2 linked regions of the Caenorhabditis elegans genome follow. The protein of the gene in region 1 interacts with the protein of each later gene in a pairwise test. Each region holds a gene or a part of one and is shown on either strand. Other genes may lie near its edges.

The links.
Region 2: the proteins of plk-2 (region 1) and Y48E1C.1 interact in a two-hybrid assay, tested with the Caenorhabditis elegans proteins (one study listed by BioGRID).

The regions. Positions count from the first base shown.
Region 1 is NC_003279.8:2,756,605-2,760,358, forward strand, and holds the start of plk-2 (Serine/threonine-protein kinase plk-2), read right to left. Parts: upstream 1,601-3,754; coding exon 1,289-1,600; intron 1,233-1,288; coding exon 941-1,232; intron 893-940; coding exon 780-892; intron 490-779; coding exon 55-489; intron 7-54; coding exon 1-6. Other genes in the region: Y71F9B.9 (3-hydroxyacyl-CoA dehydrogenase), read right to left, coding at 2,470-2,640, 2,709-3,078, 3,125-3,366, 3,722-3,754. UniProt on the Caenorhabditis elegans protein: Serine/threonine-protein kinase which plays a role, during oogenesis, in chromosome pairing and synapsis, by facilitating the recruitment and attachment of meiotic chromosomes to the nuclear envelope during prophase.
Region 2 is NC_003280.10:13,413,482-13,417,235, reverse strand, and holds the start of Y48E1C.1 (Centromere protein S), read right to left. Parts: upstream 2,211-3,754; 5' UTR 2,208-2,210; coding exon 2,150-2,207; intron 1,380-2,149; coding exon 1,327-1,379; intron 1,209-1,326; exon of another isoform or gene 1-1,208. Other genes in the region: Y48C3A.18 (Threonylcarbamoyl-AMP synthase), read right to left, coding at 2,476-2,734, 3,156-3,281.

The DNA.
Region 1 (3,754 bases):
ATCAATCTGAAAGTAAAATTTTTGCTATTTAAATTAAAAATGTCATTTCCTTACATCTGCGGTTGGCGTAGCCAATAAATCGTTGACTTGAGCGAGTAAATTCGACAAATAGCAGTCAGTCGGCTGTCGGTACGCCTCCATTCGGTGAGTTTGCTGCCGTTCAGAATTTCTCGACACGAGATGAGCCGGAATCGCAGAAAGTCCGGATCTACCAGCTTGGTGCGGACCACGCTGATCGATCGTGCCACTTGGAGACACATTTTCCTCTGCGTATTCATCATCGTTTAAGTGTGGGACCATCGTGAGGCACGAAACTGGAAGACGAGCAGGCATGAAGCCGGATTTGAAGAAGTGATCTCGGCATACAGCTCTGGCATTTGGACGGCGACTCGGCACTGGGTCAAGAAGCACACGAATGAGTTGAGATGCTGCAGCACTCGCCGATGTTGGGATGACGTAGTTGTTGTTTTTGATGCGCGAATAGGTCTCCTGAAATATGAAATATGATGAATTTTGCCGCAAAGAAATATAGGCGTGGCGTAATTTCGCAACTCTGCGGCAACGTTTTTTTCCTCATTTTTTAGTTGTTTTTTTTTTCAATAAAGTTTCTTTTTATCATCATTTTCAGATGAAAATGTTATCCAATCAAATTCTCATCAGATTGTGAGGATATTTCATGTTTTTACAACCAATTTAGCATAAAATAGGATAACGTTTCAAAAAAGGACATGAAACAATAAAATCGGAGAAACCGTGCCGCCTCATTGCTGCTTCTTTACCTCCAAACTCTTCGACTCGAATGGCGGATGGCCGAAAAGAAGAATGTAGAGAATGCAACCAATCGCCCATAAATCGACTTCAAAGGAGTGCCCGATTTTGTTCAAAACTTCAGCTGAAAAATAAATATTCGATTTTTGCAACGATTCTGCGTGAAACATACGTGCAATGTAATTTGGAGTTCCACAGAGTGTCTTCTTTCTCTCATCATTATCACAAGTTGTTGCCAACCCGAAATCGCCGATTTTCACTTGCAATTCATCATTGAGGAAGAGATTTCCGAGCTTCAAATCACGATGTACAATCTTTAAATTGTGCAAGTAGAGCACACCTTCCACGATTTGATATGTAAAGTAGCGGGCTTCAGGCTCTGTGACCGCTTTTCGTCGCTTATGCAGCTCCATCAACGATCTTCTTGGACACAATTCCAGCGTGATGTAGACGTTTGATTTATCCTGGAATTTTTTTAAAAATAATTAATTAATTAATACCTAATTAATAATGTACAAACCTCGAAGAAGTGATATAATTTCACAACATTGCGATGTTGGAGGTTCCTATGAATCTGCACTTCTTGAGCCATTTTGTCTCTCTGATACTGCTTGATAAGCAGCGCTTTCGGGACGACTTTTCCAGCAAACAGCTCGCCTGTAGACTTGTTCCGCAGCTCGTAGCAATGTGCGAATCCTCCTTTTCCCAAAAATTTGCCTTTTTCATAACGAGTCTTGCGTTCTCCATCGAGAATCACGTCTGGAACATCTGGCGGCGCCTTCTCCTTCTTCTGGGACTTTACCCTTGCTGCAGACGGCTGTACACGCTGCATCTGAAAAGTCGAAATGTACTGTGAAATTTGAAAAAGTAAGAGGAACACGAGAAAAAAAAAATGTCACACGGCGAAAAGAAATGAACAACGACGGAAAAAGGCAATTAATCTAGCACCGACCTTCACCCGGAATGCGCCGACAGCGCCAGGCTAAGAACAACGAGAACAATGATAAATTGTCAGCTGTGTTTATGGGCCATTTCAGTGATTATCATGATATATTGACGGGAAAAGGACACAAAAATTACGGAAATAGGGTTCAAATACCCTTTTCTATCCCGTTTTCTAATTTTAATATACGCGAGAATGTTCATTTTAGTGCTTTTTTCGTTTTCAGGGTTGAAAAACAACTTTTTATTATAAAATTGACGGGGTAAAGAAGGATTTATACCAGAATTCGTTGATAATATCTCGAAAAATCGATGAATTTCCCATTTTAAAACGAAAATTAGGAGAAAATCAACGAAAAACACGTGTGATTTTTCAAAAAACAAAGCTGCCCGCGCGCGGGTCTCGCAACGATCGCGCCTGGGTACGGTAGTCCGAACGATTTACGAGCCTCGAAAATTATTGATTTTTCTGAAAATCGAATTACATAATTAATTAATTTAATGATTGCAAAATGTTTCCATTGAATTTTGCAAAACATTTTGAAACACAAAATCTATAATTATCAATTCCCGTGCATGTAATTACCGGTTTAGTGGTCAACTGTGTGTCCTTCGCGTGATTTTTATCGTATTTTTGCTGTTACATAGATTTGTATCTTGTTACGACATTTTTGCGCAATGAAATATGTCATAAATATCTCAAAAAAAGGGAGTATTTTTGTGCATTTATTGACAAAATAAATTCAATAAGAGGAAAAATTAAAGATTCAGGTCCTTCTTCAGCTTGGCAATTTCCACGAGCTTCTCTTCTCTCTCCGCTTGATGTTTTCGAATATTCAAAGTGCTCATTTTCGGCTCCAGCTCTTCTTCAAGCTTATTAATGACTTTCTCGTCTGTGAAATCTGGAATCGGCCCCATATCCTTCAGGACCTGGAAATGCTAGCGGAAATAAAAATAAATAAAATAAAAATAAAAAGCACAAGCTTCAAGCTCCTTACCGCCGTAATTCCAGCCGCATATCTTTTAAAATAATCTCTGACACCAAACGCGTTCAAATGAACCGTTTCACAAGTCCCATTGAACGCATATCTCGGCCCTAGACCAGCTGACATCACCGCATCCACATCATTCACGCCAATGACGCCATCGGCTACCAAACGCCAGGTTTCTGCTAGCAAAGCGAATTGTAGACGATTCACAACGAATCCCAAAACTTCTTTCTTCAGCTTCACCGGCTCCTGCTTCACAGATCGCATGATCTCTGCAGCTCTATCTACAGTATCCTGTGAGGTCCACGGAGCAGGAACAAGCTCGGTAAGAGGAAGGAAGAGCGGAGGATTGACGGGGTGGACGATAAGACAACGTTCCCTGAATTAATGTTAATAGAAATAAGATAACAAAGAAGTCTATTTACTTATTTATCAGACCATCAGTGAACTTGGACGCTGGAATTGTTGACGTACTACTTGCAAGGATCGTTGTAGGATCCGCGATCTCATCAATAACTTTGTAGAATTGAATTCGAAAATTTAAATCTTCAAGTGCAGATTCCTGCATATAAATTGCATTCTTCATAACCTCATTCAACGATGTAGTGGTAGAAACTCGAAGGAGAGCCTCATCAGCTGATAGATTGCCTCTTTGAAGGCCATGCTCCTAAATTTTTTTTTCTTTTTCTTGTTAGTCGGAAACGCGAAATTCCGAGAATGCGTATTGCGCAACATATTTGACGCGCAAAATATAAAAATATCCCGCAGCGAAATCTGGAGTGACTACTGTAGCCTTTGGGTCGATTTACGGACTCGATTTTGAAACGAATTTTTTCGTATTGTTTTGTAATTTGTGTGTGTGTGTGTGTTATCGATTAATAAATTATTTCCGTAAATCGACACAAGCGCTACAGTAGTACTTTAAAGAATTACTGTAGTTTTCGCTACGAGATATTTTGCGCGTCAAATACGTTGTGCAATACGCATTCTCAGAATTTAGAGTTCCCATTCAGGGGACTTACATCCAACTTCCGTAGATTTTTCTCTACATTCTC
Region 2 (3,754 bases), on another chromosome or scaffold:
AGACGCAGAGTTCTCAATTGATGGTTAAGAACGTGCTGACGTCACATTTTTTGGGCTAAAAAAATCCCGAATTTTTTGTAGATCAAACCGTAAGGGGACAGGCGCGGCGCCACCACGTGTAGACGCGATTTGAATGCAAAATACACCACGAAATTGAGGAGGAGTACACGAGCCGCGTAAATCTAACGCAACGAGTTTTTTTTTTTTTTAATTTAAGAAATTAAATTTTCTCAAATTTTCTGCAGAATCACAAGAATCGGAAATTTCTCGTCCTTCTCCTCTCCGTCCATCCAAATTCGTCCGATTTTCTGCTCCAACGCCAAATTGAGATCCGGCTCGATGCAAACCGTGAACTCGTCACTCCACACAGTGCCAACATAGTCCAAAAACTTTTGCAAACTTTGCTTCCGGCGGGGGCTCGACAAAATCGCTCGGCCACTGGGCCGAAGGTGCGAGTGAATGCATTTCATGAGAGATTCGTGGTGCTCCGAGAAGAATACACAGTCCGCCGCGAGAATCGTGTCAAAGGTGTGCTGCTGCTGGAGCTCTTGTGCGCCCCAAATCAACTGCCGCACGTGGCAGCAGCGATCCAACGACGAGTTTGAATTTCGAATCTTTTCCAGAGAACGCACGGATTCCATGTTACCATCTGTAACCCAGACACTCGAATCGGGAACCTTGCATGCAATCAGAATGCTTGAAAGTCCCAAGAAGCCAGCGCCAAGCTCTAGGATTCTCCTGTGGCCACCACCATCACCGTCGCCAAGGCTGGGACCAAGGATCTTGTTGGGATCCCGTAGGATGGTCCAGGCGAGTGCCTCACTTCCAGGCCAGATCCTCACATTTCCAGTGTTGTCAAATCCCGACGCAAGGGTGTCCAAGGAGACTGCAGGGGTTGGTGGGAAGAATTTGAAGATTCGAAGAAACGAATCGTCATCGGAATCCGAGGAAGATGAATCAAAGGAAGACGGAGGAGAAGCAGCTCGTTCACAAATCCACATGCAATCACCAACACGTTTCACGTCAAACAATATCAGAGAATCAGTAGTGGATGAGGGACCGCCGCCGCCGACTCGGCTCAACGTTTCCCGTAGCCGCTCCGAGAAGACTGACCAATTGCGCCGGGCACGTGTTGATGACGTGGATGAGGGGGCCGATGACGTGGCAGATGATGTGCAAGTGGAGCCCCGGCTCAATTTGAGATGGATCTATATTATGTACATCTTAGGGGGATTGTTCTGTGTTAGGGGAGGGGGGGGGGGGGGTCTAGTACTACTTTTTTTTCTAATTTTTTAAATGGAAAATTTCAAATTTCAAAAAACGAACCTTTTCATCTATGAAATCACCCTCTTCCCACGCGTTCTTCTCGTCGTCTGCGTCTGGAATTTTTTTTTGTTGGGAATTTTCGAAAACTTTGGTGGAAATTTTGAATTTTGAAAAAATCTGGCGCAAAAATGAAATTTTAATTTACGGGAATTCAAAATTTTGAAAAAAAAAACACATTTTTTGGTGAGAAATTTAAATTTTCAACAAAAAAATTTGGCGGGAGTTAAAATTTTGAACTTTTTTTGAATTTCGAAATTCAAATTTTTTGAGTACTGTAGGGGTACTGTAGGAGTACTGTAGGGGTACTGTAGGGGTACTGTAGGGGTACTGTAGGGGTACTGTGGGAGTACTGTAGGGGGAGTGTAGGGGTACTGTAGGGGTGCTGTGTTAGTACTGTACTGGTCTATAAGAGAACTGTAGGGATACTGTAGGGGTACTGTATGGGTACTGTAGAAGTACAGTAGGGGTACGGTAGGAGTACTGTAGGAGTACTATAGGGGTACTATAGGGACACTGTAGGTGTACTGTAGCAGTACTGAAGGGGTACTGTAGGGGTACTGTACAGCTCCTAAATTTTTGGCGGGAAATTTAAATACTTTGAAAACATTTTTGGGGGGAAATCCAATTTTTTTCAAAATTTCTGGCGCACGATTAAAATTGAATTTTTCAAACAAATGTTGTTGAGGATAATTTGAATTTTTTATTTCCAAATTTTTGGCGCGAAATTCGAAATTTGGGGGGAAATTAATGTTTTGGAAAAAAAAAGTTTTGGACCTACTGTAACTACTACCCGTAAAATCGCTACGAGACCCCCAAAAATTACCTTTTTTCTTGCCGCCACGCGGTTGTGGTCCTCCCTTGCCCTCCACAGGGTCTCCCATTATCTGTAAAATTTGTTTTTTTTTCTGAAAATTAGAATTTTCAAATAAAATTGTTTGGAAATCGATATAAAAAGTGTTGAGAAACACTGGGGAAATGGCAAAAAATAATAAAAAAAGATTTTCCAAAAAATATGAATTATTAACAAAAAATCAACAAAATCAGTGTACAAAACAAGAAAAAATCATAGAAAAATGTGGAAAATACAGAATTTGTGACGTCGGGTGGCCTAGAAACTTGAAAAACTCTTCCAACTTCACAACCCCAAGATCACTGAATTTTCGTCAATCCGAATGATTTAAGCTTCTGCATCGTCTCCTTCTCAGCACATCCACTTCGAACAATCCGGAATCCTGATTCAACAGTCAAATCGACAATCGTTGATCCTTCACCACTGGAGATGATTGATCCGGCGTCGAGGATCAGATCGATATTCGGATGAAGATCTCGGAAATGATCGATTGATGTCGGGTTGAGTGAGGATCCACTGACGTTGGCCGATGTTTGAGCGAGCGGTTGGCCGAGTTTTCTGGAAAAAATGGGACCGGATTGGAAAATTGATAATTACTGGTTTCTGAAAAAAAAATTGAAAAATCGATAATTGCCGATTTCAAAAAAATCGATAATTGGCGATTTTCAAAAAAATCGATTATTTGCCGATTTTCAAAAAATGGATAATTACCGATTTCCAAAAAATCGATAATTGACGATTTTCCAAAAAATCGATAATTGCCGATTTCAAAAAAATCGATAATTGGCGATTTTCAAAAAAATCGATAATTGCCGATTTTCAAAAAAATCGATAATTGCCGATTTCCAAAAAATCGATAATTGGCGATTTTCAAAAAAAAATCGATAATTGCCGATTTTTCGAATTTCAAAAAATTTAGAAAAATCGATAATTATTGATTTTTCGATTTCCAAAACAACGTTATTTTTCCATTATTTACTTGCATATCGTCGAAACAATTGGGCAGTCTGGAACCCGACAGGCTACGTTAACAACTCCCGGATTAAATTCCGCCGGTAGGCATGGAAGGCGTTCGAACATTAATGTAACTGGACCGGGGAGGAGGCTGAAAATTTGTCGATACACCATATCTTACGCTCAAATTTAAATTTTTCATAAAATTTGCGCGTCAAATCTGGTGTTTTCAAGTACGCAAGCTCAAACTTCTCTCAACTTTGCGCGTAAAATCTGGTGCATTGATGGGCGGAGCCGATACACTTGATCTGACGAGCAAATTTTAATTTTTTCGATGAAAAACTGCGCGTCAGATCTGGTGCATTGGGGGCGGAGTCCATACACCATATTTTACGAGCAAATTTCCACAATTTGCGCGTCAAATCTGGTGTATTGACTCCGCAAGCTCAAATTTCTCTCAAATTTGCGCGTGAAATCTGTTGCATTGAGGGCCGAGCCAATACACCATATTTTACGAGCAGATTTTCAAAGTTTGCGCGTCAAATCTGGTGCATTGGGGACGAAGCCAATACACCATATTTTACGCGCAAATTTTAATTTTTGAAAAAATTCGCGCGTCAAATC